Drosophila melanogaster: one gene and its partners. The protein of the gene in region 2 interacts with the protein of the main gene of each other region in a pairwise test. Each region holds a gene or a part of one and is shown on either strand. Other genes may lie near its edges.

Region 1 (4,993 bases), on a different chromosome or scaffold from region 2:
TCATGTCATCTCAGCTGACTGACTGGTGAGAGGATTTTCGGGTTTAAGGATCAGGAAGGCGTCAAGACATCTGTTTTTATTGTGACTGAGTATTATTGATTTATTACAACTTAAGCTGTACTTAATTACAGGTATGCATAATTCGCATCTCTTGGCTTGAAATAATTACTGGTATCCTACTTGTTACCTTGCAAGATTAAAGGGTCTTCGTATAACTTTTTATTAAAGTGATCGGAACATAAAGTTTTTGAACCATTCCGTCTATTTAATAAATATTATTAGAGAGCTGTAAATATTCCAGAAAATGATCCTCAAAAAGTCTAGTAAAAATACATTTTTTAAATATTATTTATGTTGAGTAGCCACCAAATCAAAAACGACAGCTGTTTAATAACAACATACTCTTTATTTACAAAATATATTTACAAGATATACAATTACAAAGAACCCTATGACAAACTATTTCCAGCAGCTAACCAGTGATAAAGACAGTGAAATTTATTTTATACATTTTATTTTATTTGTCCTTAATAGATTTTCACATAGATATTTCTGTTCTTATTATCCATTCAATTCATTGTGCGCCGAAACCTTTCACTGATAAACTTGGCCAGCTAAACTGTTCATAAATGGCGAAATTTACAAACAGTTAGCTGGTATTTATCCTAAACCTGGAGTTCTTGGCCCAGCACAATGGCTTCCATTGGATGGCTGGATTGGAAATAATTTACAAAAGGCATTGCTTGTTTCATCTTGGGGGTTCTTATCAGCTACAGAGAGTGTGGCAGGGCGGAAGTTTGACTTCCAGGGGGTATTTTAAGAGTTTGCTTCTGCGCTCGGTTTTGGAAAGGAAGGCCGACAGGTGGAGAGAGTGGGGAAGATAATTGAAAATGTTGCTAGATATCCTTCGGCTCATTTCCATTAAGTCCGCTCGCTCCAATAGATTCGCCTGCTTCCGGTCCATTCCGTCCGCTTACTTGTGGTAACCATGGTGGTCGGAGTAGACGGTGGCATCGTGGCCAATGGCGCTAACAGGGTAGCTGCTGACGGCAACGGTGGGTGCGTGCTTGACCACGGAGTGGGACACCACGGGCACCTTCACGTAGACGGGGTAGGGACGATCCACATGCACGGGCACCTGGACATTGACGGCCTTCTCCACGTAGACAGGGTAGGGCTTGGCCACTGGCACGGGGTAGGGCCTGGGCACCTCAACGGGCACTGGGCGATCGACGGGCACATGGACGGGCACCTTCTCGTGACGGATCACTTCGTAGGGCTGGGGCACTGGCACGGGCACCTTGACGTACTCCTTAACGGTCACGGGCACCTTGCGGATGACTTCGTAGGGCTGGGGCACGGGCACCTTAACTTCGACGGGCACGCGCTTCTCATGGACGACGGGATAGGGGCGGTCCACATGCACGGGCACTGGGATTCCCTTGGTGATGGTGATGGTCTTGTGCACATCGGCCTGCTTGCTGATCACATAGGGGGCGGGAGCGTGGTGGACAGCGACGGCGGGAGCAGTGTGTCCAACGGCGATCGCGGGACCACTGTGGCCCACGGCGACGGCAGCGGGTGCGGAGTATCCGGTCAGTCCGTAGCCATGTCCGTAGCTTCCGTGGCCGGAGATGGAACCATGTCCCAGGTAGCCGGTGTCCAGACCAGCATGACCGTAGCCGTAGCCCAGATCGAGCAGGCCGCGCTTGTCCAGCTTCTTCTCCAGCGGCACCTTCTCACCCTCGGTTTTGCTGGCGCAGGCGGAGGCCACCAGCAGAGCGGCTAAGCAGATCTGCAAAGAATTGAGTTGGTGCGATTGGTTATGAAACTATGCATTTTAGAGACTTTTAAATAATAATAATATATTAATTTTCTAGCAAAATTCTAGATATTTGTGATTTCTTAATAGTTTATTTCACAATAACTAAGTTAGTAAGTAGAACTTGATTCCTTGCAAATATAGTTTAAATCTATTTCAAAATGAAATGAAATAAAATTTAGTCATACTATCTTCGAATTCTCAACTGTGCAAACTCATCTATCATGAAATTCGTATAGTCTATTCTTTAAGTATTTGAAGCTTCTCTATGATAAAACAATTCAAGATATGCAACCTACATAAATTGCCTAACGAAAACGTTGACTTTTATCACCCATTGCCTAGTTTGATCGATTACCTAATCGCAATAGAAAGCGAAGGCGATAGGCGATATGTGGCCCGATTCGCATTGTGTCGTCCGTTGTCTCATCGCCCTCTTTCGCGATTCAAATGGTCAAGTGAAATTTGTGCGTGCCTGGCATAAATGATGCAGTGCAGTCATCGCCCACTGCCACGCCCAGTTTCCGCAATACGCCTCAACCGACTGGCGTCACGTTACGCATACGCAGTGGGCAACTCAGCGAATGCATTTGGAGCTGGCTTTAATTGAGCACATGAACCCAGTTGATTACGGCCTGGTAATAAACGTGGCTGGCACTCCAATTATGATCGTTCAGTTAATAAACGCTTATTAGCCATGTCGTTCAAGTTGAATTTGGTCGTTTGCGAGCATTTCACCTTTGATTAAGGAAATTTATCGGATTGAATTGTTTCAGGAAGTTGTTTGTTGTTGAAGATGGCCAGGTAAACAATGTGAGGCATTTGCAATGCAAAAGGCTATATTGTTCCAATTAGTTCATGTCAGCATTGTTCTGTATGCAATTCTTTGAATTATTACTTGATTTCTCACACTAAAATATGCTACCAACAGCGATAGTTCACATACTCGTACCCATTTACATATCAAACTAAATTCTATATGTCTAATTACTATATGTCTGTTGTACTTACGAATACTTTCATTGTGGAGTCTAATGGGACTTGCCAAGGCTGTAAGTAAACAAAGAAAACAATAAGATTATTTATACGAAATGCAGCATAGATATTTTTTTTTTTATAAGATCAGCACTTTAATTGGTATTAACAATCTGTTCTTTGGGAAAATGTTCCTTGGAAAATTGAAGTTATTTAGAGCACACGGCTCGCACAGTTATTAGTTTATAACTTTTAGATCACAGCTTAAACTTTATTTCCGTTTCACATAGACTACACGCATTTTAGAAACAAACAAAAATTAACTTGGCATTTGGCTTCACTTACAAGCAACTCAGTAACAGCGAAATAGACTGTGGAAGGATTGTAGAATCACTAGCGATTCCAAACCTTTGACTGGATGCTGTCTGTGGTCAGTGGCGCGCTTTTATACCCCCAAAGAGTTTTTGTGTCAAAACGAAACTGAAAACACCGCCAAACCAAGTCGCTCAGCGGTTTCCAAAAGCTTTTCCCACCACAAACCAGCCTAATTGCTCTCTTCAAAGCTCTGAGTTCGGCTTGGTTTGCGCTTGTATTGGTTATATTTGTGTGTATTAGTGCGGCACGGAAAGTTGCAAGCGGAAGCGCTCACCAATACACTGGCATGCCACCAATACTCACGCAATTGCGGCTTTTCTCTGTGTGTATTGGTGACTTTAGCCGCCAACTTGAAAGTGGCTTATAAAATATGGGTGCAAATGTGATCAAATCAATTTGGGAACATAAAAAGCAAATAAAATAAATTAACTAAATCTTGAATTGAAATTTATATTGGGAAAATCCCGCAGAACGTACTAGCAATCCTTTCTTGTTTTTTTTTTGTTTTATTTGGATAAAAAGTCTTCGGGCTTCTTAGCAAGTTGTTCCCAAAAATATAGATTTCAACGAAAGGTCATATGTCTATCAAAGTCGTTATGTTTTGTTTGTCAAGTTTCAGAAGTCAGCAGTTTTGGTCGAACCTGATTCCTAATATCAATAATTCTGAGTCTACCTAATGGAAATTCAACTAGATTTTGTTTTGATTCCATTAATTAAAAAAAAAAAAAAACTTGCTTATTAGTATCATATTTATACGTTCGGCTCGCATTTTAAACAAAGGGTCTATAAATCTGGAATTGTTCAAAGGGGTAATCTGGTTTTAATCTTGTATAATTTCAATATAAAATTTATTTCGAAACATTTTGTGGCCCAATAAACAAAAGTGTAACAAAGCAATTTCTTTCATTTGAGTTTAATAAATCTCAAATTCACTTAGCAGATCTAATATCGTAGAACTTGATTTAACGGTAACTTGATTTATAACTTAATTAATGTTTCTTATAATTTTGTATGCATTTGGCGAACCGAATGTTTTCCGGATTTTAGTATTTAATTTTTAACCGGATTCAGATCTTTTAAAAATGGCAATTAATTACATTAAACTTTGATTTTGTAATTGATATTGTAGTAAGCAACATTTATCAAAGTTCACTGTACTTGTAACCAGTTACTTGCTTTATATCAGTATACATTGTTGCAAGATAGTAATTTGAGTGTGATGTCTCAATTTCTATTGCTGTCATAATTAGGCTTTCTGGTTTTCTTGCCACCTTTGGGGTACTCGGGTTACCATTTTGCACTTCCTGCAACAACCAGGTAAAAACGGAAGCTGCCTCTCTGGAATTTCTCGGCATCTTTGATGTCATTGACAATGGTTTAGTGATCACCGGGCGGAAAAAATAGATACTATCTGCGATTGGGGGTGGTGAAAAGTGATGCAACAGATGCGGTGCATAACCGTGGGCTGCGAATCTCAAGTTTCGCACTCGAAATCGATTATCGGAACGCTGGGTGTGGGATTGTGGAGTGGAATACCAACGGGGATTGCAAATGGATCTGTGACTGGAACAGTGACTGGATCGGGTGCCATGCGTGAGATCTGCACTGTGGCGTAAAAGTGAAAGGCCTTTATGGGTCGCCGTTGCAGTAGCGGCATTAGATGCTTGTGCATTTGCACAAAATCAGATTATATATCAGCCAGGCTGAGTCCGTGATTTGGCAATTGCCAGCATAATTATTTGTTAATGCGCAAAATGAAACCTGTTGAATGTTGGACTCCGCTCCAATCGGCCGACTGGCAGCCAAAATGATATGCGTGTA
Region 2 (5,902 bases):
ATGTGGCTGCGTTCCTGCAAGGAGCAGCGAACACGCCGAAAGGCAGCCACGTCCAGACGCGAGATGGCCTGCTCCAGATCCCTGAGGCCGCCGTGCAACAGTTTGCTCGATTTGGAGGAAGTGCCGCTGCCAAAGTCATTCGCTTCCACCAGGGCGGTCTTCAAGCCCCGCGTGGCAGCATCGAGAGCACAGCCGGAACCCACGGCGCCGCCGCCAATGATGAGGATGTCGTAGTGGGTTCGCTTAAAGGCCTCCAGGCACATCTTTCGCGTGGGCAGCTCCCGTTTCATCTGTGGCACTGGAGTCGAGTCCGCTTGCCTTTCATCGAATCCAAAAGCGCCGTGGCCCAGCTTGGAGCTGCCCAGCATCACCGCCATTTGAATGATCTTGGCCATGGTATTACCCCCTGCTTTACACACCAAATTTGGACTATTTTTGCGTGGGTCAACAATATATCTGACATCTAACGAAAGCACAAAAATTTGGACGGGTGTTTGCTTGCTTTTGGAAATATGTTTAATGTACATACATGCGAATAAAAACTTATCGTTTTCGTTCCGTGCCTCAAATGTTGGAATATCAATGGGATAAATTACTTTTAGAGTCTAGAACCGCCGTCTGAAGGAATTACACGTGTAGAGGGTTGTACAAAAACGCCAAATGCCAAAAATTATCGTTAAAACTTAGCACAAATTTACTATAAAAAGCTTTCCCGCTCCACTGTCCCGCTCCTCATGTGACTCTCGGGCTCTCCGTTTGTTGATTAACTAAGCGACTCCGGAGCGGGCTGGAAAGTCTCTGCTGGGCATTGTGGCTCCTCCTATTGCTTGGCACCGCCAAAGAAGAACTTGTAGAAGAGCGTGGCCACCAAGCACAGGACGAGGGGCACCAGCCACGACTTCACAGAACTCTCCTCGGTTTGCTGTTCCGTGCTCCAGGTCGGCTCCGACTTCTGGGCCACGCTTGTCCTTTCGCTCTCCACCAGCTCACCGATTTTGTACTTCTTCATCATGTCGCGGGCATCGTTGCTGTGGCCAACGTCCTCAAAGTTCTCCGTGGCATCTTTGCCGGCCTGCTCGATGAGCACCTCTTCGCCACCGGGATGCTGTCGTGAAGGAAAAGAGACAGATTAATATATTCGCATAAATAACTGTTGGCTGATCTTGGATAAATGCTAATGGACGTCTGACCCTGAATTTCATGGACCAGACAGCAGAGGGTATGGTATCAAGGTATAAAGTCGGGAATGCTTCGAAACATTCGTTTATGCGGAAGCTTTATGGTAATATTTTATACTTCCGTTGCGTTGAAAGTAAAAATATCACAACTAATTTCAGTTACAGATTTAATTTGGCACTTATAAGCCAATAAAGTTACAGAAACTTTGATCCTAAGAACTCGAGCGAAGTTACGTTTTGATTGTACCATTATAATAATGTTGAAACTTTGTACTATAGCTTAGAGTCATGCTGAAAAAGCCGCGGAGCAAGTATGATGTAATTATTGTTATTAATTACTATTAAAAGCAAACAAGTTGTTTCGCCTCAATTGTGCTGAGTGATAAGCTAAAGTAATTTTAGCCAAACTCTTCAAGGTGGCCGAGTGCAATTGAATCGATGATAAGCGTATCTCATAATTATTTTCACAATTCTTTAAACTTTTACATAGTCCAACTTAGCCTTATCTAATTTCGATGATTATATTGTAATTACTGTGTTGGTTTATATATGACAAATCGGAACATACATATGCAGGAAACACATTGAATAAGATTCGTCAAAATAAACTGATCATGTTGAATAAATAACGAATAAACACGTAAAAAATAATCTTTAGATCCAGCAAACGCTCTAAAATCTGGAAGTCTAATTTGCGATTTGTCTGGTGATGCTGTTACGCAGATAGCAAGGTAACAGTAGCTAATGTTATTCCTTAAGATGGAAGAGGACCAAGCGGATCAGATTAGGGGCATGTTTTAAACATGGACTGGGGATGGCTGCGGTCGATAGGCGGACTGAAACTTTGGAATGGAATTATAAATTAGATGCTTGGTCACTCTCACTATTGTTATTTTCAGCGTGTACCTAAAGTGCAACGTCATCGTTAGATCGGAATTTTCACAGAGCTTATCTTAGATCCCGCAGATAGCGGGAATGCTTGTGTAGTCTATATGTATAGATTTGGTGATGACCCTACTGCTGCGTCAGGGTGATACACTTTTCGGAGCCGGCGGCAGTCGGTTTGTCGGTGGTGCACTTGCATAAGAATCCGAATTCAAATCGGAGTCCGTTAATCAAATGAGATGCAAATGCAGACGCGGATTTCGCTTAACACTTGACCCTCGTCGCCCATCACACACATATATACATGTATGCAAATGGATAGTTTCGCCATGTGGAGCTCTTTCGACAGCTGGGCGAAAGTGGCTGCTGGAAGTTTCGACGTCGCAGCAAATCTGCGAAATCCGGACGCAGGTCAAACTACCGTCCGGGGGTCAAAGTACAGACCTAATTGCCCCGCGATGCAAGTTAGAGTCGCTACATGTGGCTACGTGGGCTTGGGCTTGTGCTGGGGCTGGGCCCATTAGCTCATCGGGACAAGTGAAACCCAGATAAGGCCCAATAGCAAACGATGACCCCCATTTAGTGGTGGGAGCGGGTGCGGGGCGGTGGCACTCAGCTGCGACGTGTTCCGTGCGATTCTCACCTCGTTGAGGAAGGCGGTGACGTCGTAGATGTTGTTGTGTATGAGCAGCCAGGTGTCCTTGTTCGTGTTGTGCTTGGCGACCTCGGCCCGCGTGAAAGTCTTTGTTTCCTCGCTCGACATGGTGATCACTTGTTGATTTCTACTGCGCGTTTGATTTGTGTCACGGAAAAACTATTTGTCCAGCCTCGCACTCTTCCTCCAGGGCGCACGGTCTCACAGAACTGGTGGCCGGCGGTCACACTGGCGCGCAGCAAGATGGCTTGTTTACACCAACGCCTATCGATATCGAATAGTGACCGTTTAGACTAGCCAGATTGTTTGTGGTATGAGCACATATTTTATTATAATATATAATAGCTTATAACTTATTTATCTAGCTTATAATTTGTTTACAGCACCCAATACACAATATATCGGATTTGGAGCGGTGGTTATGCGATGCGATTGTATAGTGGATCACGGCTATTTTACCATCGACATGTAAAGAATACTGCATACTTTTGGGCGCGATAAGACCAGTGCTCCAAAGCACCTCATTAATTTTGGCGCCCAATTTGAAATGTGAGAAAACCCTTTAGTGAAATAAACGATTCAAATGAAATGTACAAACAAAATTCGTAAGCAAATTTATTTTGGGCAGACCATTTCATTAATAAAAATGTATTTCGAGCGGTATCCCAGCGAACTGGTTCCACCAGCGACGAATGCGCAGACTCGGATCTTGTATTTACACTCAAGCCCTGCCTTTATTCCATACTCGGCAAAGGAGACTTCAAAGTCAAACGTATCCTGCTGTACGCCGTGCGGCTGCGGCGCTCCTTCAATAAAAACAGTCGACACGCATTGTGAAGAGTTTTCCAAAAGCTACAGCGCTGTCCAATAGCGCAATTCAAGTTAACAACAAACTAAGCATAAATATATTGATAAGTGACGGCGGGTGTGCTTTTGATACGCAGCGCTTTTAGCTTTTTTACAAAGGTAAGTTCCTTATTACGCAATTGGCATCCTGGAGTGGCCTACGTGCGGTGGCCATTTTCTTGGGTCCGATTTCCTTTCTCTGGTATACATCCACCACTATGTTTCCTTTTCCGCTTCGCTGATGCGTAATTCAAGTGACGGGATTTATGCGTTAAAAAGTTATTAAGTTTTGCCAACTTCAATCATGCCCTTGGATCCCGATTTACGCGTGTTCTGGAGCCCCGTGGGTAAACAACTCTTATGGGGGACAATCCAAAACTGAGTCGAGTGGCCCGTAAATCATTCAGATTGTTTGTGTCTTCGGGTTATCAGCACCTGGAGATTTGACTGGCCAGTAAACACTTACCAGCCGGGGGATACCTGTGCAAGGTGTTAGGAGAAGCACCCAAGCTCTGGATTTATGTATCCATTGCGGGTTATATGCGATATTCTTGGGGTAGGCGTAATGTGATTGATTACTTGTCAGAATAGTGGAGTATAATGCCAAAATTAGGTGTGGGTTTGGTTTATATATAGATATAGTATACTTATTATAACCCATTTAAACGCAATCGACGATTGTAAATTAGTACCACACACGCACTACTGGAAAACAAGAAAAACAAAGTCGGAAACTCAGATCTTGATTGCGATCGAAGGCATTATTCTCACTCACACAAAGGCTCTAAAAATAGCCCTGTTCCTGCATATTTTTTACACCGAGAGTTCACTTCGGTTGGCCGCCAGCGATTCAATTAAATTTTATGTCTCATTGCTGCATAATTGACGACATTTTCCGTTTCGGGCGGGGAAAAGGTGAGACAGTGGTCAACATTTTCCTGGCGCGACAGCACCACTAAATTTGCATTGCCAATCCGTCATTAGACTCGATTGATTCCGCCATTAAATACAATTGACTAGAATTGACGAACAAATGTTTTCAATTCAAGCGCAACAAAAAAAATGAATAAATAAATAATTCAGTAAATATTTTTCTTGCTCGATGATCTTTTGATCCGTACATCGAATGGGGAGGGGGGGGGGGTGGTATATCTTCGAGGGACGGATTTTAATTGGTCAGAAAAAGAGTTCGTTCAGTCGCTGTTTTTAATTGAACACATACTGTTTTTAATTGTGGCTTTTGCGAATTTCGTTCAACGAATTGTTATGTCACTTTCGCTTTCACCTTCGACCAGATTAAGGTTAAACAACTTAAATATCGCCACGAAGTCTTAATGTTTATAAATGTAAAGTGAAACGATGATAAATCTTATCTTATTCTTTGTTGTGTTTTTGCAAGAAATTTCATTGTTAATGATTTAATATACATATTTGATGTTTGCATATGGCATATGTAAGTTAATAATAAGTAAATGTGTACTTATTCATTGATATAGGGGTTGTTAACACCAATAAGTAACTTGTTTTGACCATTTTGCTGAAGTTCTGCCTAATTATGAAAATAATTCTTCTCAGTGTTTGAGGCTGTTGATTAACCCCAAAAAGTAATACATACATATGTATAAATGTAAATATATACATATATGTATGTACGTACATACATTTTTTGGTAAGGATGCAAATGTGTAAAACGTAACTGCGTAAATGTAAGGCGTATTTATAGCGGCTTATTTACGCATTGTTGTTGTGTGGGCCGTACAAAGAAGAACAACAAAGCAGAGGAAGGATGCCCATTTATGCATTCGTGCTGCGCCAAGGAGCGAGCGAGACAGAGAGACAAATTGAGTGAGGGAGAGAAAAGAAAAACAACGCGCTCCCTCTCTCACTCACTCACTGTCTGGGCATGCCACTCAGGCGTGATTATCATGCAGCGAGCACGTGTACATGACTTTGGTTTTGTTTTGCTTGCCGCTGCCCCCTCACCAACGCCTATCAGTTTCTTCTCAACGTTTCATTACCATGCAAACATCCACCGTTCCTCGCTCCGCAAACACAAGCAACAACAATCGCAAACAGTTAGAGGTGCGCACACACGACATACGTAGATACACAGATGCATACATAGATACAGCAAGCTAACAGTTTGATGCATTGATTGAGATAAAGATACAAAATGAGAGTACCGACAAAAATAATTTTTCTTACCAAAAAGAAGATATGTAACTAGATTTAGCTAAATACCCAGAACCTGAAAAGCTTAGAACATTCGCTTTCATAAAGTAACACTGTAAGTATCTATCTATCTATACACCATGCATATGTAAGTTGTTTGTTTATT
Region 3 (5,738 bases), on a different chromosome or scaffold from region 2:
GGATGAAGTTCCTGGGCGGGTATACTTGCCCAACATGTGCCAGCATCACATAGTTCGTGTGAATGCATTAAGGTACTCTCCACTTGTTTTTCCACCTTGTGTAACTTCCACTTGATATCCTTCTTTTGCGGAAAAGTACGTACACTCACATTAATGCAACCATTTCCAGTGCAAAGGACCCTCCATGGAGCCCACCCTGCACTCGGACAACGTTCTTCTCACCGAGCGCTTGTCGAAACACTGGCGAACCTACCAGCCCGGCGACATAGTCATCGCCATATCGCCCATCAAAGCCGATCAGTTCATTTGCAAGCGTATCGTGGCCGTTTCCGGTGATCAGGTGCTAATCCAGAAGCCCATTCCCATTGAGGCGGAGTTTAGTGGTAATTCGGATGACAAGAAGAAGCCCGTGATGGTCAAGGACTATGTGCCGCGCGGACACGTTTGGATTGAGGGTGACAACAAGGGAAACAGCTCGGATTCCCGCTACTACGGACCCATTCCGGTGGGCCTCATCCGGAGCCGCGTGCTCTGCCGCATCTGGCCGATATCCGAGGCCACGGGTCTATAGATGGCATTCGTACAACAAAGAGTTTAAAATCAACTTGACCCAATAAATGGCCTATGTTTCGTTTGGAAATTATAGTACATCAAACCACAACTTTTTAGAATCATTACGTATGCGAGTTTCGTCTCATTTGTGCGACTTCTGGTTTTTGCATATCATTGAAAATAAGTTGAAAAAAACAGGAGAGAATAATAATTTCTTTTCATTTTTGTTTTTAATAAACATATTTTTCAAAGTATGAAGCTTACATCCTTAATCCTTATTGGCTTACCTTCTAAGGAAGTATTTACCATGTTTGGGCGTCATATTCAAAATAATGCCATATTTTAAATTATTGGCGTTTCTAAAAATGGTATCAAAAGAAAAGCTTTTGTAAAAGGCTGTGTGAGCTTTAATTGATATATGCATATAATTATATACAAAAAAATTCATTTATTGACTACATTGTGAACATTTGAATGCGCAGTTGTGATGCTGCTGGCTTTTGGAAGAAAGGACTTTATAAAAATTGCACTAAGGATTTGGCCATTGCACCGACAAGTCTCACGAATTCTTTTTATCCTGCTGCTCCTGTGGCTGCTCCCGATCCACGTAATACAGATTGTATTTCTTCTTTAGCACCTGATGCACTTCGTCGCGACAGGTGAGGGTCAGGCCGCGCTTCTGGTAGTCCAAAAAGGTGCAGACGAACTGCCTGTTCGTCTCGTGGACCTGCGGATGCTTCAGATACTCCGCGATGGGCATCCACTGGATGCGCGCTATCTCGCGTTCGCAGCGCGTAAAGTCCAAATTCAGTGGCTTTAGGGCGATGACCACGTACATGTCGGAGCAGCCGAAGGTGCCGCCATGGGCATGCCGCAGACTGACCACTGAGCGGAATTCGGTGCGGATTCCCGTCTCCTCGGCCACCTCTCGTATTGCCGCATCGATGAGATTCTCCCGCGGCTCCACATAGCCGCCGGGCAGCTTCCAGCTGTTTGGTATCATTGCAAAACGATCGGACACCACCAGCACCTCGTCCTGTTCGTTGATAACCAGTCCGCCGACGCCCATTAGCGTGTGGGCGTAGGTGGGTAGGTTGCTAGACTCGTGCTCCGGCAACCAGCGGTACATGACCACCACACCGGTCTTGGCATGATGGAAATCAAAGCCGTTCTCCGCCAGAATGGGCACCCAATCAGCCTGCTCCTTGTACACGCGGAACCAAATGGCCCGGTTCTTGTTCGTCGTCCAAAAGTCCAGGGATTCTAAAAGGTATTTCGTTATTAATATAATTTGGTAATTGGTGACACAGATTTAATTAAAATTATAAGCCGTTTATTGTCTATGACTATTTATAGTCATAGACAACTTTTAAATTGATAAAAGTGGAGAGCAATGATTTTGGAAATTTAATTTAGTACCCCAACTTTAGATAGATAAACTTTTAATCAACTTATGATAGCACGAAGACTTAGAAGATACAATGATACAAAAAATATACGTCCAGGCAAAGATACCGACATATTTTAAGATATATATTCTTACTTGTGAGCTTGTCCCGGAAACTGGATTTGTCCACGTTCTCCTCGCGCCCATCGACTGTTACTCCGGCAAATCGATCCGTAATGCCGCGGAATACATCCGCCGGCGTGTCCATGGTTTTGGAGCTAAATCGTGGGATACAAATAGTTTTCAATCATGTGTTAAATACATATGTATGTACATCTTTCAATTCTTACGACGAGTATGCTCTTGTAAATTGCTGCTGTGACTGAAGCTTTAATGGAACTCTGGCGGCAACCGTGGATGTGGGTCGTTTTCTAGCGGTCCGGAGGAGTGTGCTCCATGAATTGAACGCCGGCTGGTTAAGTACGGTTCTGCGAGCCAGAAAACCGGTGGCCAACATTAAATAATCTCACAGTTCGACGAACACAACGTTGTTGATGACGACGACGGCGATCGACCACGTTGGCGTCACTACTAGTTCGCAACCGGAGATCTGGGTGCTGTCCGCTTGGTGGGCGTGGCGGAGGCGGTGGCGGCGACAACGACTTTACCGTCTCAGTTTATCCACAATGCGAGGTGAAGCCAATTCCTGGGCATGCTGTGTGTGTGTGTGAAACGAGGCAAACAGACAGGTGAAAGAGGTGAAATAGCCGCATGGCTCCAAACAACGATGCAAATCTGCTGCGATGGGCGGAGCAGAGCGAGACGGAGGAGCAGGTTGCCACTATCTGCCGCCGTCGCTAGATAAGCGATATGGCCGCTGTTACGTTCGGATTTCTGTTCTTGACATTTCGAATTTGGCGCTAACGTCAGTAACAAATAGTGGCGATAGAGATGCGCAGAACAGTGTGACTTTGACAGAAAACCGGTGACATGAGTATAATGAAACTAAAATATAGATTCAACTGAAAGTATCACTATATATGTACATATATATAAAAAACTGTGTTATCACTATACTAATACTAATACTAATATTAATGGCAATCACGATAGCAGTCACTGCTTCCTGCTCATCTCTAGCGCAACCTTGAGCGACAACCCAAGGTGCGTGTGGGTGGTGGGTGGCGGTGTTGGGGTGTGGGGTCGTTTCAATTGTTTCCGCATGGGTTTTGTGTTTGTTTATCAACTGAATTGCTGCTGTTATCAACGCGCCAGAGAATTGATACGCGTTTTACATAACAAACCAAGCCAAATATATTTTTTTTTATTCCATATCTGCGCTAGAATAGAACATTGTGTGGAACTCGAACTCACTAGAAAAGTCAATGGCTAATGGTGTCACTGAGCCAATCCGTCCAGTTCCTCCAGACGACTAATTACAGATCCGATCCAATGTAGCCATGGACTTTGGCATAAACAAGCGAATAGAGCAGCGCGCGATTTCAATTCGCTTCCACTTCCACTAGCACGTTAATTTCTAGGGATGGCGCGCACACAGAAAAGTCAGTCAGCTGATCCGGCAGTGCTGCCAGCCTGGCTAGAAAAAGCTGTTCAGCCTTATATGTAATGGTTAAAAATCAAATATGAGCAAACCAACATTTTTTAAATATATGGCCTCCGGAACAATTTATTAAATCTTGAAATAGCTAATATGGGTTATATAAGTTACTGGCTAGCGGCTTGGCTAATATATCGAATGTTTCCATCCTTTAGATGGCCAAAAGAGCTTAAGTTCGCTGGTCGTCGGCTTCGTTGCGGGAAAATTCGCTGCTGTCATCGCTATTTATCGCGCTCTTGGTATGCGTGCAGTCCTTCCTACAATAATATAGTAATAGTCACAGTCAATGCCAGGAAGGACAATGCTGCATAAGTAGTAGCATAAGTAATGATTAATTCAATTGGGAAATTTTTGATGAGTACGCAAAACATCTAACGCTATTCTAATAAGAAATGCGACCAGCTTTAGAATTAACATTCTGATTAGCAGAGGGTTGAAGTCGTTCTTAAAGACGGCTAAAAGTAGACTACAAAATATTTAAATGCAAGAGGAATTCAATAATCCTAGAACTTAAACTAAGCTTTTCAAATTTGAATGGAAATGTGGAATAAATACCGTATATGTAGCATTCGATGCCGATCTCCTAGTCTCTATCTCTAATCGGTTCGACGTGGCCACGTTCGGCCAGATGCAGCAGATCCTCGATGCCCTGCCTGCGGAGCATGCGGCGATGATTCTTGAAGAACGATATCACCTTCTTGGACTGTGGAGCCCGCATCCGTCTCTTGACCGTCATCGTTGGTCATCTTGGAGCTACTGTTCCATTTTTAATTTTTTCGCCTTTTTACTTTACTTGAATACGAAAAGAAACATATCTGTATAAATCGTTTTAATAGGCCAATAGGTGCCTTCAAATTCTATAGTTGAGATCCTTTGAAACTTTATTTTCATATATAACTAAATATCCTCTTTGGCTGCGCGCCCAGTTTGGCCCATTTCTCTCCTCTTCACTTATTTTATTTTATTTAATTTGATTTTTTTTTTTTGAAATCGAAATAGTTGCGCAATTGAGGGCGAGTCCTTTGTGCGAGTCCAGTGATTTGGAAAGGGCTATTTAGAGCAACAAAGCGCCAGCGACCAGGAATCCTGGGGAATCAGGAACCAGTTAGCAGTTTAGAGCGCGATTGAAGGGATTACGAGTAGAAAGGATCGTAAATGTGTTGCGAAATGCACATTTAAACCGTGACTCACCAGGGGGGTGGTAGTTGTGTGTGTGTGGGGGGGGGAGGTGTGTGTGTGTGTGTGTGGTGGTATGTCCTTGTGCCATAAATTCAGGTGCTTCAGTTGGACAACAATGGTACTCGTTGAGTTTCGCCTGATGTTTGTATTTTGATTGCCGGCTTAGCAATTTTCAATTTCTTTTTGTTTTTTGGGGGGGAAATTCCCAAAAAAAAAAAAATATGCGAAGAGGGAGTACATAAAAAAGTTACCCCTCTCCAGCGGGCGATATTTGCTCAGTTGTTTAAACAAATTTTCCGCTTAGGGTTGCTAACCAACCTCCTGTTTGCACACAATGGATTTCCATGCCGTGGCTTAAGTGAAAATGCCATCTCAAATATTTATTAAAAAATCTATGGCTGTTTGGGGACACGTACATATACACACATATATATATATATATATATCTATTTTCCATCGCCGGCTTATCGAAAACTTCAACTCCAATGTCGAAGTTGGTGGAAAATCGGGGTTATTAGGTTCCCAGGCGCGATCTTCGTCAACCCTTTTCTTTGTATTTCCTTCACTATTTTGCGCGCACCCGGAAAATTCTTGTTTGTAATTAGGGAGTTTTCCTTATCATTTATACCCGTAATGCCCTCGGCATTCAGCATTGTTTCGCCGCCAATTAAGCGTAATTTCAAGTGTCCCGTTCTCGTATTTGTCTAATAAAAGTTTGAAAAACTCCTAGGAAAACTGGTTGGGTTCGCTAACGAACTGTTTATATTCAGACAATGGTTTGGAAATTGAAATAAATTAACGTCGATTTTTCCCCATTTCCAGTCGGTGGGTGTGTGCCTTTGCCAGCTGAAGGCATCAGGTTTTTCTTTTTATTTTTTCTTTTTTTTTTGTCACAGTGCATAAGCTTTATTCGAATGAGTAAACGGGTAATGAGTAATATTTTTTTGTTGGATTTTTCACTGAAGGCGTGACAAGCGGAAAATTAACTACTATTAAGCCATT
Region 4 (4,491 bases), on a different chromosome or scaffold from region 2:
TGAAAAATTCAATGGCTCGAGTGCCAAATAAAGAAATGGTTACAATTTAAGGAAACAAATGTCCTTCTTGCGTTTGAAACAACTAATCCTTTTCGCCCTCGCGGCGTTTCTCGAAAAGGGCCAGGAAGATGCCATCGGTAAGATCACTGTCCGGCTGGCAATACAGGACGTTCTTGCCAATATTGGGATAGTCCTTGTCGCCCACATTGTGCCACTTGTTGCGCAAGGCCTTCTTGCAGCTGAGCAGCTTGAAGGATGGATTTAGCTGAAGACAACGCTGCACCACCTGCTCGTTTTCCTCCTTCCACAGCGAACACGTGCAGTAGGCAATGCGTTTGACGTTCGGAAAGGCGCCCATCGCGTGCGACAGGATCTTAATTTGCAAACCCTGCAGCTTTTGCAGCCGCTTGTCCTCCTTCGGCTCGTCGCACACGGTCATGCGGTTTTGCATTCCGCTGCCAGAGCAACTAGGGTCCACCAGGATGTACTCTACGTCCGGAAAGCGTTCGGGTGCTGAAATTCAAACGTGTTACTTTTTTAAATATTCATTGTGAAATATATAAATATAAAACTCACTTAGGTTCAAGGCGTCTCCCAAAATGGGTTTTACAATATCGCAACCAGCATCCTTTGTTATTTCGCACAGCGTATTGTAGCGTACGTGGTCCTGCTCCACGGAGTAGATGCATCCCTTGTTCTGCATCACATTGCATATGTGCACTGTCTTCATACCGGGAGCTGCGCACATATCCAGCACAGTGGCCCCAGACGGCGGAGCAAGTAGTTCGGCGGCCAAACAGGTGGCCTTGTTCTGCAGTATAAACCTCTTGCTGTGCACCAACGGATGGCGGACCCAGTAGTTGGACCACTTGGCAGGAAAAATGAGCACACCCTCAACGTGCAGATCGGTCATGAACTCGTTCTCCGCCAGCGATTTGATGGCAGTCAGAAAATCCGCATAGCTGGCGTCCGCAGGCAGCTCCTTGCGCCGCCAGTCGCTTTTATGCAGGTAGTCCAAGGCCTCCGCCAAGCTGTATAGATTTGTGTTGATGCGCACATATCGAGGATTGGGTTCTGTGTGGGCAAACAAAAAGACGAGTTCAAAATTGTAGCCAAAGTAAGATTTATTAAGAGTTGTTAAGAGTCGTTACTGGTCCTTTAAACGATCGAAATAATCTGGACTTGGCTGGCAGCACTTAAGTTACTGTTCTTTCTTTGGCTCCGCAGCTTCCGGCTCGTCGTCCTCATCCTGCTGCACGGGTTCCAAGGGTGGTGGGGGCTTCTCGCGGAAAGCCTTTAATACATACATGGCCACCACGAGGTTAACAACCACAACAGCCGTGAGAACTGACCAACAGTTGACCGTGAAAAGGTCCAAATGGGGGAAGGACTCCTGCAGCCAGCTGCGGACGCCATAGAAGCCCAAGAAGGGCAGCGTGAACATGAGCACACTGTAGGCCAACAGCCAGAGGAAGACCTCCGCACTGGTGTCCTCCTGCTGCGTATGATGCTCCACGGGAGAATCAATGACAGCCGGGGAATCATCAGTGGTAGCTGGCACCACATCGACATGCTGTTGTTTCCTGTTCTTCTTGCCCATCTCAGCCGGCTAATACTGGTAATCGGTGTGATAACCTGCCTTTTCGCTGGACACCGAAATCTCTGATGGAATTTAGCAGTCGATCCTTGTAACTTCGCACCGTTTGCACGGGTTTGCTTTCGCCGTTCAGCTCCTTCCTGCCAAACAGCAGTTCGGTGACTAGAATCTTGGCCAAACTGGGATCAAAACTGGGATTGTCCCTGAGCAGTCCTGTCTCTTCGATGGCCTTTTCCAGTGCCACACGATTTTCGCTAAATTTTTTCAGAACCGTATGCAAAGAGCGTGTACGCTACAAGTGAAGTGCGAGAGGGAAAAGTTATACGCATATTGGTTTGATCTGCGGACGAGAGGTCCAATCCACTTACGGCATGCTTCTCTGCAAATATTAGGGTCTTGATGCACTTCTGCTGCTCCAGTGCCGCCTTCAAAATCTTGGCAGTCGCCCTGTATTGGGTGGGAACTTTTATGGAATGCGGTTTTTTACTCATTGTCGTCACGTGCACGTGTATGTGTTGTTTGCGCTAGAATAGGTGCAACCCCAATCACGACTTTATCGATATATGCTTATCGAATGTCAGGGCTGGAGATAAGCATGTGGCGTTTGAAACAAATCATATTGTTATTCATGTTTTGAAAATATCTACAATTAATGTAAAGGTTGTTCTAATTTTGCCAACGATAACTACAAAACATATATGTTCTATCCAATATATTTACATACAGGGTATCAAATTTACAAATAAATTGGCAGTGTGGCCATACGTTGCGAGCAAAAATTACTGTACTTCAAGCATTGCCAACACAAGAATATTTTCATGGTTAAAAATTTTGGCGCGATAAAGCCGCAGTTTAAAATGTCAAAGTGTGCGCGTTCTTGGAGGTTTACCAAAATTTAGAATCATGCTTTTATTTATCGTGCATAAGTTGGTAAATTGGAATTAAATCAAGTTTTTTCCAATTTGTTTCTGGTGTGTCGTTTGTTTTGGGGTCTGTACGGCTGCTTTAATTAAAAAATATTAAAATGAAGCACGCTATTCTTTAAGGACTTTAAGGAAACGTACCTTTCTATGTTTGCCCAGGAGTTGATAGACGATATCAAGGCTGAGGATCGCATCCTACAATGTCCTTGGTGCGAAGAACAGACGTTGAGTCCATCAGCCAGCACCCGGAAACTTTTGTATTGGCTTTTAACGCTTTCAATTCGACTTTCAGAAAAGAGTCTCCTCGAAAATCACGACTGATATCCATGTAAATGAATCGGTAGATACTTGCACTTTCTTTTTAGTTATTAAAACTGACACACTGTCACTTTGCAGGTTTTAACCGCTGGCGGAAATGAAGAAGGAATCCGGGAATATTCATTTCAGTCCATTGTGGTGCACAGCGGAACTCCCCTCAGGAACAATCTTAGCCCACTAAACATCAATAAACTACTAAAATAACTTTGACTGCTGCTTAATTTCAAATATACATAAATTAATATTTTTTATTTTTAAGTTAAATTTTTTAATTCTTTTGGAGGCTCAAATTTTATATTTGGCGCAGCACTTTAATGTAGAAAATGTGAATAAAGAAATATTTCAAGGGTAAACAACAAAAAATGTTTTGATTTTGTAAAAAAAAAAACCTTAAAAATTATGAGGAGTTATAAAATAATTATCAGTTTCCGGAACTTTAAAATTCTTATCTTCAATTTGATCTTCAAGACATATTTTTCTTATAATAATATTATCAATAATATTATATAATATGTAACGGATATTTAAGTTCTTCATTTTCTTTTTCAGAAGTATTAACAAATGCATATATATAAATACATATATATTTATACAATAGAATCGCATAGGCATGAATTCAGCGCGCAAAATAATATAATTACAATAACATTGATATTATATAATAGATTATAATAATATACATATGTAAGTGTAAGTTATAAAATGGTAACAAAGTTCAACAGCTCATAGGCGAAGATCCAGTGGCACGGAATTTTCAATACAGCCAGGAGAACATCCTAATATTTTGGATAAACTCTTTGTGCCACTGTTCCGGGTGATGTGCATCATGTCCAGCACGGAGGACCTTATGTACCACTATTGCTGTTTCCTAGATTAGGATTCGCTAAAAGCTTAAATTGTAATTTCAGATTCCCAAAAATAGAAAATACCGCCAAAAGTCAGGGCAATGGCACTGCAGAAAGGATGCAGGATATTATATGTTCTTTTTGTTTTTCTCTCCCCAGAATTTGGCCCAATTAAATTTGGTATTCGAAAAAAAGAGCACGCCTCCTCCCCGAAACCGAAAAAAAACTCTGTGGCGCCGGGAACAAAAAAGAGCGCGAGAGAGTGAGAGCGCACACATAAAAAACATAAACAAGCCTTTTTCACTAGTGTGCGTTTGTGCGGAGAGAGAAGAGAGCGAAAAACAACTTCTGAAAAAAGACGCTCTTCGCTGTGATTTTTTTTCAGTCAGTTTTTCGACGGTCGTGAACACGAACAGTTATTCTAGCTCCTCCTGTTCTGCTGCTTCTGTTGGTGTTTTTTTGCGTTTGCCGCGACGTAAACAACCGAAGAGCGGAGCTTACGCCCCCAACTGCTCCAGCTCCACGCCCCCCTCGCAACGTGTTCGTTGTAAATGCAATTAATCGTTGTTGGTCGCTGAAAAAACTAATATTTCGGGAGTCCGATACAAGAAGGGCAAAAAAGCACAAGTGCAGAAAAAGCAAAAAAAAACATAAGCTTGCCGTGTGTGTGCGTTGGTGTGTGTGTGTATTTTTGGCGTGCGCGGCCATTTTTTCTTGTTGCCACTCGAGAGTCTCTTCTGTGTGCGAAAGAGAGGCCCGACGGCAAAGCAGAACGTAGCAAACTACGCAAATCCCCACTAAATTCGCT

What was found.
Region 1: the proteins of Cyt-b5 (region 2) and Vajk3 interact in a two-hybrid assay, tested with the Drosophila melanogaster proteins (one large-scale study listed by BioGRID).
Region 3: the proteins of Cyt-b5 (region 2) and CG8128 interact in a two-hybrid assay, tested with the Drosophila melanogaster proteins (one large-scale study listed by BioGRID).
Region 4: the proteins of Cyt-b5 (region 2) and CG42359 interact in a two-hybrid assay, tested with the Drosophila melanogaster proteins (one large-scale study listed by BioGRID).

The regions. Positions count from the first base shown.
Region 1 is NT_033779.5:13,944,256-13,949,248, forward strand, and holds Vajk3 (Vajk3), read right to left. Parts: upstream 3,222-4,993; 5' UTR 3,143-3,221; intron 2,873-3,142; 5' UTR 2,846-2,872; coding exon 2,834-2,845; intron 1,796-2,833; coding exon 974-1,795; 3' UTR 501-973; downstream 1-500.
Region 2 is NT_033778.4:7,530,535-7,536,436, reverse strand, and holds Cyt-b5 (cytochrome b5), read right to left. Parts: upstream 2,932-5,902; 5' UTR 2,827-2,931; coding exon 2,707-2,826; intron 1,429-2,706; coding exon of another isoform or gene 1,342-1,428; intron 1,106-1,341; coding exon 821-1,105; 3' UTR 501-820; downstream 1-500. Other genes in the region: Gpo2 (glycerophosphate oxidase 2), read right to left, coding at 1-395. UniProt on the Drosophila melanogaster protein: Cytochrome b5 is a membrane-bound hemoprotein which functions as an electron carrier for several membrane-bound oxygenases.
Region 3 is NC_004354.4:15,695,239-15,700,976, reverse strand, and holds CG8128 (uncharacterized protein), read right to left. Parts: upstream 3,484-5,738; 5' UTR 3,314-3,483; intron 2,945-3,313; exon of another isoform or gene 2,655-2,944; 5' UTR 2,457-2,654; coding exon 2,290-2,456; intron 2,218-2,289; coding exon 2,096-2,217; intron 1,816-2,095; coding exon 1,112-1,815; 3' UTR 943-1,111; downstream 1-942. Other genes in the region: CG9240 (uncharacterized protein), read left to right, coding at 170-571.
Region 4 is NT_033777.3:19,160,151-19,164,641, forward strand, and holds CG42359 (uncharacterized protein), read right to left. Parts: upstream 2,151-4,491; 5' UTR 2,089-2,150; coding exon of another isoform or gene 1,966-2,088; intron 1,890-1,965; coding exon of another isoform or gene 1,640-1,889; 5' UTR 1,601-1,639; coding exon 1,202-1,600; 3' UTR 1,109-1,201; downstream 1-1,108. Other genes in the region: Nsun5 (Nop2/Sun-like domain containing protein 5), read right to left, coding at 83-513, 577-1,074, 1,640-1,889, 1,966-2,088.